Mus musculus: one gene and its partner. The protein of the gene in region 1 purifies or fractionates together with the protein of each later gene. This does not show direct contact. Links are inferred from orthologs where the notes say so. Each region holds a gene or a part of one and is shown on either strand. Other genes may lie near its edges.

Region 1 (5,805 bases):
AATTAGACCCATGGCTTTCCATATCCTACCACTGAACCACTCCTCAGCCCTTGCTGCACTCCTAACCCTATTTGTACTTTCCCAAGGTCCTGTAGTAATGAATAATTATATTGCCATTCCACACATTTCAAAGGAAATGTATTCTTTCCGGCCAAAATCTATTTATCCTCACTAATGTTAACACTATAATCCACCAAGTTGACCAAACCATATCTGCATGTGTCTGGAAGTTTTCTCATTTCTGTGGTCCATAAAAGGTAGACACAAGTCTGTGAAGATTGATTAAAGAAAATGTGGTTTAAGCACTTTAAAATGTTGCTGTGGAGAAGTCTGCAGAGATGTGGTTAGGAATACTTATTGCTCTTGCAGAGGACACAGGTTCAGTTTCTAGCACTGATATCAAAGCTTACAACCGCCTATAAGTCTGGTTCCAAGGGGGATCCAAGCATTCTTCTGACTTCTGTGGGCATCCGGTATACATGCATACATTCATACATACACACATATATTCCGGTATACACGCATACATTCATACACACACACACACACACACACACACACACACACACACACACACGTATATTCCGGTATACACACATACATTCATACATACACATGTATATTACATAAGTTTAAAAAAAGACTCGCAGGCTGGAGAGATGGCTCATCAGTTAAGAGCACTGACTGCTCTTCCACAGGTCCTGAGTTCAATTCCCAGCAACTGCATGCTGGCTCACAACCATCTGTAATGGGATCTGATGCCCTCTTCTGGTATGTCTGAAGACAGCTACACTGTACTCATAAACAAAATAAATCTTAAAAACAAAAACCAGCCAGGTGTGGTGGAGCATGCCTTTAATCCCAGCACTCAGGAAGCAGAGGCAGGTGGATTTCTGAGTTCGAGGCCAGCCTGGTCTACAAACTGAGTTCCAGGATAGCCAGGGCTATACAGAGAAACCCTGTCTTGCCCCTACCCCCCCCCCCAAAAAAACAAAAAAAAAACCCCAAAAAACAAAACAAACAAACAAACAAAAAAAAACAAAACAAAACCAAAACCCAAAGGGGGAAAAGCTGCCATGGAAAACATGATGCCATGTTATTTTTACCAATCTTTCACTAAATCCTATCAATTTCATCTTTGAAATGGCTCTTACCCCCATTTAATGTTTTCTCCATCTGCTATTAGAATATGAGTTTATAATTGCACTAGAAGTCACCTATCCTTTACAGAAGTTTGTGTCACCTGTCCATAATACTCATATGGTTTATGATGGTTATATTTTATATTTTTGGGAGTGAGCCTAGCTTTTCATGGCTGAGCTATCTTTCTAGTCTGTGAAGGTTATTTCTAAACTTGAAACATTAGTGATTCTGATAAGTTTTTCTTTTTTCTTTTTTTTTGTAGTGTCATAAATATACTGCTAAATGAATGTGGTGATACACAACTTTAATACCAGTACTTGGGAGGTAGAGGCAGGTGGATCTCTGAGTTTGAGGCTGGCCTGCTCTGCAGAATTTCTGGACAGCCAGAGCTACATAAAAAATCCTGCCTCCAAACAATCAAACAAACAAACAAACAAACAACATCCACCCACAAAACTCACAGTCTTGGAACAAAGAAATTACTGTGAAGCAATGCCAGATATTTATATAGATAGATAGTTTTAAATCTTGACAATCCTACTTGGTCGTTTCTTTCCCCTTTTCAAAGGGAGGCTGAAAGGTTATGTAATTCAGTCAAAACTAGGTAGGTAAGCAAACCGAGGTGTTTGACTCTTACACTGTCTACCGTTTAGTAGAAGCTACACTCTGTCAGCATTCACACTATATTCTGACCCAGGAATTTCTTTTTTGGGGGGTGGTGGGTGGTGGTTTCAAGACAGGGTTTCTCTGTATAGCCTGGCTGTTCTGGAATTTACTCTGTAGATCGGGCTGGTCTCGAACTCAGAAATCCACCTGCCTTTGCCAACTCCCAAATGCTGGGATTAAAGGTGTGCGTCACCACTGCCTGGGCTGTCCCAGGAATTCTTCATCTGACCTCCCTGACACTTCTGGGAGTTTAAAGACATCTTAGGAATCCATGAGATGTTATAAGACAAACTTTTAAACAAAAGGTAAAATCATGCTTATACAAATATAAAGGAATATGGTAAATTTAAGTGGAACTAGTCTGTTTAAAGGAGAAAAGACCAGATCAATATGCAGCATAAAGTCAAAATGAATGTTAACATATACTGGTCAGGGGCAATGATTGGGCAAACATGGTTTTCATCTTTATGTTTTCAACAAGTTACAAAGTTGCAACACTGCCCAAAGACAGTGAATGTCACAGATAATCTGGAAGTAAGCTGTGCTAGATGTAAAGCAAAAGACCATTTTTTTTTTTTTAAATTTTAAATCAAAGGTTTTGTTTGTAAAATCACATACAAAATGTTTCCACAGGTACATGTAAAATTTTCAAAGGAACTCGACAATAATATTTTCCAGGCTTTAAACAAAAAGAAGAGTACCCAAAAGATTGAGAACCAAAGTTGTAGTCACGGCAAACCCTTTAGCGGTCTGGAACTTTGCTCCAAATAATCTTTTAGTGTGAATGTTTTATGAAGTCATTCGGTTTCCCACCACCGCCCGGCTTCGAAAGACTACTAAAAGGCAGTCTTACTTCTTGAGGATTTCCATTCTCAATGAACTCTCCACTCATATTTCTCCTTAATTTCTCATAAACGCACTCAGAACTTAAATTCATTACTGTTAGCCCCTTCTACAACGGCTTTTTCTATAGAGGGACTAGCAAAAAGAAAAGACTGAACTTTAGAATGCAAGTTCTCACAACTGATGTCCTTTGGGAAGACAACCTGCCTAACACCCACAGTTCCTCTGAGCAACCCTACTTCCGCACAGACTCCCCCCCCCCCCCCCCCCCGCAGCCGGGCGTGCCCCAAACACCCCAACCCCAAGCTCGGCCCGCCCCCTCTGTACTGAGCTCCGAATAGCAGGGGCCGCCAGGGAACTGCGCGTGCGCACAACGCACGGCGCCAAACCAACGGCACAGTGGCGACGGGGGCGGGGTGAGGCGGACCGCGGATGGAGGGTGGCCCTCAGGAGACCCGACTGAGAGGAGTTCCCACCTCTACGGGTCTGAGAGGCTCTGCAGGCCAGTAGTGACTTACTCCGTGCTCGTCCCCAGATCCACGGTCAGCGCTTGTGTTCTCCCACGCTTTCCTTCTCCCGACCCCTGCGGTCGGCGGAAATTTGCGTCATTCGAGTAGCGACGCGCTTCTCTCAGCCCGCTACGGAAAGACGGGTCCGAGGCCCAGGGTTCGTTGCTGACGTCATAGGCGGAGCATCTCGGGGGCGGGAGCCACGCGGTGACTGCGCTGGCACGCGGAGTTCCATTGGTGGTTTGCGAACGGCGGCGGGCGGGGCCTCCGCGGTACCGTCCCTGCTTGATGACGTCACTTAAGTTGGCGGGAGAAATTAGAAAGTGGAGTTTATGTCATTGAGCCGGTGAAGTGGAGACTTTTCTCTCCCGTGTTCTAGGCAAGAAGGGTGGACAGACCGGGCGACTTGGCGCGGTTGGGAGAGCACTGGACACTGACTCGCCTCCACGGAAGCGACCCACGAGGCGCCGTTAGAGTGCCGGGTGAGGCGGTCACCATAGCGGCCCATCCCGGTTGTGGGTGTTTTAGGGGCTGACATAGGACCAAGGGGGCCATTATTATTTAGTGATACAAAACCTTGAAGTGTCAAGGCTTGGCAAGTGAAGCTATGTTTCTTTTAGGGATCTGTACTGTTCCTTGTGGTTTAGCAGGCCGTTCGTGGTTTGGAAACTTTCCTGGTTTGAGCGGTGCTGTTCTGAGCTATTGTGACAGTTTTTCATCACTGCAGAGGGCCAGATAGAAACTGTTGTTGGGCTCCAGAGCTGGACTTCCTAACGTAATAGATCAAGAATAGGACCTAAAAGAATAGGACCTAAAATGTTCATTGCTAACTAATTGTCAGGTCATGTCCCTGGAACCACTTGAAGATATGTGTGCTTATGTGTGCTGCTTTTGCATCTGTATTCAGTTCACCATCGACGATTTCAAGATTTCAAAATTTGACCTTATAGTTAACATGGTAGTTACAGTGGCTGCTGCAGCACTGTCCAAGAGATTTTTCTTCCTGGGTGTGGTGGCATATTGCTTGTAATATCCCAGCTATTTCCAGAGGCTAGGACGGGATTGTGCAATATGGTCAGATCCTATTTTAAACAAACATAAAGGACTGGATGCATGTAAGCACTATTACCTAGTTTACATATAGTCCCTTTTGTCAGCCCCTAGCACTGGGTAAAAGAAAGAACAAAATTTTCCTTGCAGAGGAATTATATATTGTATATTTGGCTCTAGGATGTTGTGCTATATTGACTAGGGTATATAGTCAACCCTCTGTACCTGTAATTTCTGGATCTGTATTCAGCCAGTTATAGATGGGAAATAGAAAAAAGTTGTTAGTACTGAGCATACAGATTTTTAAATTATCATTTTTATTTCTTCCTTTTAGACAGTGTCTATCTATGTAGTTAGTCCTGACTGTCCTGGAGCCCTATAGGTAGACAGGCAACCAGGCTGCCTTGAAGTCACAGATCCACCTGACTGTGCATCCTGTGCACTGGAATCAAAGTTGTGTTCCACCAAGTCAGGCTTGTTACCATTTCTTGAACAATGCAGTTTAATCACTGTTTGCATATCATTTACAACCTACTAGGTACAAGTAATCTAGAGATAACTTATTTATGTTAGAAAATATGTGCATGCTCCTATTATATGCGAAACAACTATGACGTTTTATATGTGAACTCAAGTGGCTGGCGCCGGATGTTAATATTTGTGGTCCTGAAACTAGTTCTTGGATAACTAGGGATTACGCTAGCAGGAAAAATTTAAGACACAAGGGGGCCATCTTGTGGTAAGTATAATGATTTTGAAAAATAAAATTGAAGTTGGGTTCTAAGGAGCAGTACATGTTGAAGGGAAAACAATCCATTTTCTGGTATATAGCAAGCCACTGGAGAGATGTTTACAGATTTCTAGTAACTATGAGTTTTACCTTTATTTTCCTGTGTGGTGTCACGCAGTTCTGTCCTCCATGACAGATACAGTTTTGTTTCTCTTGGTGGCTTCATAGTCTTGGAATTGTTTGGTTTCTGTCTCCAGTCAGGATTTATTGAAAAAGTTTGTACTTGATATTTATTCTTTTTATCAGGGTCGATTGACCATTCTTTGCTGTTTTTCATTTTAGAGGATATAAATGCTGACTAAAAACTGATTGTTTTCTGGACCTGACTAGTTTATAATCTCAGAAGACACAATGGAATGTCAAGAGTTTATTGTAAGTTGTCTTCTTCCTCTTCTGCTCCTCCTCCTCTTTTTTTTTTTTGTTTTTCAAGACAGGGTTTCTCTGTGTAGCCCTGGCTGTCCTGGAACTCACTCTGTAGACCAGGCTGGCCTCGAACTCAGAAATCCGCCTGCCTCTGCCTCCCACTTGCATTGCTAGACAGGTTTTGTTTTTGTTTTTTTGTTTTTTTTCTTTATATTTAACATTTGAGGTAGTAACATGCAGCTGGATTGTCACACTTGTTTCTGTATTCAATCTAATTGAATCCAGCACCACATATAACAGCTGGGAACTGCATTCTTCCTCTGACGGAGGTGGAATCTAAAGTTAAAAGCGGTGTGAAGTTGTTCTGACCTCAGATGCTGTGAGCGTTGCGGAGCTGTCAGACTTTGGACTGTACTCAGAGAGCTATGTGAATAAGAAACA
Region 2 (5,311 bases), on another chromosome or scaffold:
TCACTATTCCTGGGGTCAGCCTTTGTCTCTGCATCCAGACTCATTCCCAGTTCATACAGCCTATTGAACTAAACACCTTCATCTTTCAGCTGCCTGCAAGGTGAGGCTAATGACTAATCATTTTCTTCACCTAGTGGCTCAGACACCTGCCTCAGACTTCTTACTTTGCACAATACAGTCTTATACTTTGTCACGCCGCCTCCCAACAGATGTTAGGCAGGCAGACAGAACAAATATTTTCCTTCTGCTGTCGAAAAGGAAACAGAAACTAGAAGGTCACTGGGACCGGGAGGTTACCCAGCTGCTTCTAGGGCCTTGACTTTAAAGCAGTCTCTGTTAGCCCTGTAGCCACATGATCTGATTGCACCATCCCTGGATTTTACTCCAGCTCTGTAGAGCTATGTGTGCAGATGTGTTTGTTTAGAATACTGTAACTGGGGGCTGGAGAGATGGCTCAGCGGTTAAGAGCACTGACTGCTCTTCTAAAGGTCCCGAGTTCAAATCCCAGCAACCATGTGGTGGCTCACAACCATCCGTAATGAGACCTGATGCCCTCTTCTGGGTGTCTGAAGACAGCTACAGTGTGCTTATATATAATAAATAAATTAAAAAAAAAATAGAACACTGGAACCTTCCTAACACTGTGCCCCTTTAATGCAGTTCCTTGTGTTGTGGGTGACCCCCAACCATCAAATTATTTCATTGCTACATCATAACTGCACTTTTGCTGCTGTTATGAATCTTACCCTGCTATTTGACCCCCAAAGGGAGTCTAGATAGTGGGTAAGGATTTCCTTACTGAGTTGGTTATGGTGGTGTGTGCCTGCAATCCCAGCACTTGGGAGGTCAGGGAAGCAGGATTATGAGTTGAAATCTAGTCTGTGCTACATGAGTCCTCGTGTCCAAAACCTGAAAGCAAGGCTGAGCAGCACAGTGGTGCGCACCTTTCATTCTGGCTAACAAACAAAAACCAAGTGGGGAGGAGTGTGCACACCTTTATCCCAGTTCCTGGGAGGCAGAGGCAGGTGGATGTCTTCATAGGTCAAGGAAGGCTGGAGAGATGACTCAAAGGTTAAGAGGGCCTGAGTTCAAGTCCCAGCAACCACTTGTAGTCATCCATACGGTGATATGATGCCCTCTTCTGGCCTGCAGCCACACATGCAGGCAGAGCGCTGTAAGCATAATAAATAAATAAATAAATAAATAAATAAATAAATAAATAAATCTCTTTTTTTTTAAAAGAGTTCATCACCCTACTTCTTCCCTCTCTCCCACCCCTCACATACAAAATCATTTGAACAGGTCCTATTCTGGCTATCAGAGACAAATGACAAAATCCCAAAGTTGCAAATAACACACACACACTTTTTTTTCCTTTCAACGGTAGAGTAAGTTAAGATCCAAATTAGACTTCCTCTTTGGGGCTCCCTTATGATGTCCTGTGTACAGCTTGCCATGTGAGTTTGATTCTCCCAGGAATTATCAAATTCATCACTATTTTTCTCCTTTAAGTTTCCTTTCTTTTAAATGCAAGGTTTCTGCACTGCATTTGTGATCCTCTTTGCCTCGGCCTCCTGAACACTGGGTTACAGGTATGCACCATCATACGTGATATTGTCTGTTAATTCTTTCGACTCTTCTGTCCCCAAATAAGTCACCAGTTGAAGCCATCTCATCAGCCTTGGGTGTTGCGTGCATTGTTTCCCCCATGGCTCTCCTGGGTTGTTTTTTTTGGGGGGGGGGGCTGCACCCTTAACTGGTGGTGTGGCAGCCAGGTCCAGGTGTTCTTGCCTCATGGTTCTTTCTTTCTTCTCTAGATATGCAAGAGTTACAAAGGAGAGGGCCGCAAACAGATCTGCGGGCAGCCGCAGCCCTGCGAGAGACTCCACATCTGTGAGCACTTCACCCGGGGCAACTGCAGTTACCTCAACTGTCTCAGGTCTCATAACCTGATGGACAGGAAGGTGTTGGCCATCATGAGGGAGCATGGGCTGAGTTCTGATGTGGTCCAGAACATCCAGGATATCTGCAACAACAAACACACTCGGAGGAACCCCCCTAGCATGAGAGGTATGCCCTTTCCCTTTTAACTGTGTGAATTTGCAAATGTACAGAAACCACAGTGGGGCATAGTGACACACACCTTTCATCCTAGCACTCAGGAGGCAGAGGCAGGAGGATTTCTGAGTTCGAAGCCAGCCTGATCTACAGAGTGAGCTCTGGGACAGCCAGGGCTACACAGAGAAATCTCATCTCAAAAAACAAGCAAGCCAGCAAACACAAACAGAAGGAAAACTGCAAGAAATCTGCCTGTAAAATCTCAACTTCACTATCTGCATGCACCACTTTAATACAATTGAAACAATGATGTGTATGCAGTTTTACAAGTGGCTCTATCCCCTCATTTTAAAAGAGCTTATTATAGTCTGGTGGTGGTGGCACACACTTTTATATAACATACCGGCACTCAGGAGGCAGAGGCAGGTAGATCTCTGAGATGGACACCAGCTTGTTCTATGGAGCTAGTTCCAGGACATCCAGGGCTACAGAGAGAAACCCTGTCTTCAAAAAAAAAAAAAAAAAGTTTGCTTGGGGGTGGGACATGTGTGCATCAGTTAATTCCAGGGCTTTGGAGACAGAGGCTAGCCTCAGGAAACTCTAGCTTGTGTCAAGTTGACATAATAAGACTGGCCAGCATGACTGTATTACTTATTATTTTGTGTGTGTATATACAGCCATATGTGTGGAGGTCAGAGGTCAACTTCAGGAGCTCTCTTTCCCCAGACTAACCCCAAGTCATTCAGGCTTGGTGGCAGGCACTTTTATCCACTGAGCCATCTCACTGGCTCTTCTTGTCTAGTGGACGCAGTAGAAGCCAAGTTTATGAAGGGGGTAGAATCTCTGACTCTAGGATCTGCAGTGAAGCAATGAAAAGCTACGTCTCCTGGTACTTAGTCTACAGAAGACTTTGCCCCAGAATCTGTCATCATTACTCCTCACAGCGAAACTGTGATCAATGGCGGGTTTATTACTCATTAACTTCACCTAGGGTAAGGAAAGGAGTGTTATAAGTCCTAAGCAGCTTTAACTCATGCTTGGAAGACCAAACAGTACTGTGAAGATGAAATCAAAAGCCGTGCTTGTGACCCGAGCACAGGAATGCAGCTTCCACACCACAGTGCCCTGAACAGAGAGTGACTGTAGAGGTGGGTTTGTGAGCTCTTCACAGCGTGCGGGAGAGAGCTGCATATCATTGTTACTTCTAGTTAAGCTATGTAGTTAGACATCATGACGGGGGAGTAACTAAGCTAGCTCAGGCAGTCAACGGGTTCTCCAGGTCGGGAGTGAGGGTTAAAAAAGACAGTTAGACAACACTGTAGCATGACCCCAGCCAGTTCTGAGACTAAAGGCGAGTTTATTTTTTTCCAGTCTGCTTTTATATCATTCTGGGTACATACAAAGAATATGGTCAGTCCTTAAGGCGTAGACAAAGTAGTCAAGGAACAAGCAGGGCAAAAATCAAGGCAATAAACAGAGGTCACTGTGTCTAGGGGTTTATCAGGATGGTCCAGATCCAAAGAACACGTTCTTCATCTGTATTTGCCTTGAGCCTACTTCATTGTCCCAGCCTGATATCAAATTCCTACCAAACTCCTAGAAGCAGCCCCAAAAGCTCTCCACAGGGGAGCCTTGCTTTTGCCACAATACTGTTGTCCCCTTTCCTCTACCAGGATAATACACACATGTTCCTCATAAGCAAACAGACCCTACTGCACCTCCACCCCCAGCTTTCAAATGCCTTTCCACAACAGACGTCACCTACGTAGGTACCACGCCAGACTTCACACACTGGGTCACTCCTGTCTTCTCTGCTTCCCAGACTTTTCTAGAGAAAAGATGCTGCTTTATCAGCGTCTCCGGATTTTTTTTCTCCCTTCAATATATATACAATGTAGGGCAGGCTAGCCTAGAACTTGCTGTGTAGCCAAGGCTGGACTCCTGTCTTAGCATCCTAAGCACTGGGATTATAGGCATGATCCACCCCGTCTGCCTTCAATTTCAGCTTTTCATAAGTTTAGGCACTTGTGGTAAATATTTTGGTTTTTGGTTTTTGGTTTTTGGTTTTTCGAGACAGGGTTTCTCTGTATAGTCCTGGCTGTCCTGGAACTCACTCTGACCAGGCTGGCCTCGAACTCAGAAATTCGCCTGCCTCTGCCTCCCGAGTGCTGGGATTAAAGGCGTACGCCACCACGCCCGGTGTGGTAAATATTAATTGGGTGTTTCTACCCCACCTTAAGTCATTTAGTTTCCAAATACAAAGCCTTTATATTTATAATAATCCTTTAAAGCACGAGAGCTGGGCAGATATCAACGCTCTGTGCTATTTTGTCTATTTCCCTGTCAATAATCCTGAACTATCACTTGCCATGTTCCACCTGGGCTGCCTCTGCTCCATCAGGCCGTCCCTCGCGGCCATGTGCTCATGATCCACCTACCCCATGGTACCTTCTTCCTCCTCTCCCCTCTCCCCTCTCCCCTCTCCCCTCTCCCCTCTCCCCTCTCCCCTCTCCCTTCTCCCTTCTCTCCTTTCTCTTCTCAGTCTCTACTCAGAAGCCAAGCCTGGGAAGCTAAGCCCCGCCTACCTCTCTTCAGCCAAGCTGTAAGCATCTTTATTCAAACAATAGTTTCAAATTAAGGATTAAGGTTTTGCACAACAAAAGCTGGCATCTGTGAGAATTCCCTGTCTTGAGACAACTAGACCATTACAGTACATAGATAGCAACAGCCCTAGCCTCAAGAGGCGCTAAGGGAGCTAGAGGAAGAAGCCTGGAGAGTTTGTGGCTTAGACGAAGGCTTAGCTTGAACCTGCAGCCATTTACCATTTGGTTTCAGTGTTAGAAGTGCCTGTTCCAGAACCCAGATCGGAATGCGTGACGTCTCCATGAGTCGTGGACATGTTTCTCTCACTGGCTACATTTCAGCTGTCATTCGCTGTAGTAATGACCGTTAACTCAGAACTAGAGTCTGGAGACACCCCACCTGGGGTCTTGGGGACTGGAGGGCTCACTGAGTCCCAGGAGAGGCCAGAGGAGCTTTGGAGTCCTCCCTTGTCTGAGCCACCCACACGCTGCTGTTGTGGACTCTGCCAGGTTGCAGCTTCGTCCTAAGATTCGCAGCCACCACTTAGGAAACTCCTATGATAGAACTCAGCTACAGGGCTGGACAAGCAGAGAGAACATGGAGGTAGGAACTAACCCGAGCTTGAATTTTCTCTCTGGGTTTCTCTTTCCAGCTCCCCACCCACATCGCA

Evidence for each region. The genes of interacting proteins can lie anywhere in the genome.
Region 2: the proteins of Larp7 (region 1) and Zc3hav1 purify together in Homo sapiens (affinity purification with mass spectrometry; 3 studies listed by BioGRID and IntAct, with this or other methods). This does not show direct contact. The link is inferred for Mus musculus from reciprocal best matches to the Homo sapiens genes LARP7 and ZC3HAV1.

Annotation. Positions count from the first base shown.
Region 1 is NC_000069.6:127,550,013-127,555,817, forward strand, and holds the start of Larp7 (la-related protein 7), read right to left. Parts: upstream 3,338-5,805; 5' UTR 3,171-3,337; intron 1-3,170. Other genes in the region: protein ZGRF1, read left to right, coding at 5,353-5,373. UniProt on the Homo sapiens protein: RNA-binding protein that specifically binds distinct small nuclear RNA (snRNAs) and regulates their processing and function.
Region 2 is NC_000072.6:38,333,171-38,338,481, reverse strand, and holds part of Zc3hav1 (zinc finger CCCH-type antiviral protein 1), read left to right. Parts: intron 1-1,817; coding exon 1,818-2,070; intron 2,071-5,293; coding exon 5,294-5,311.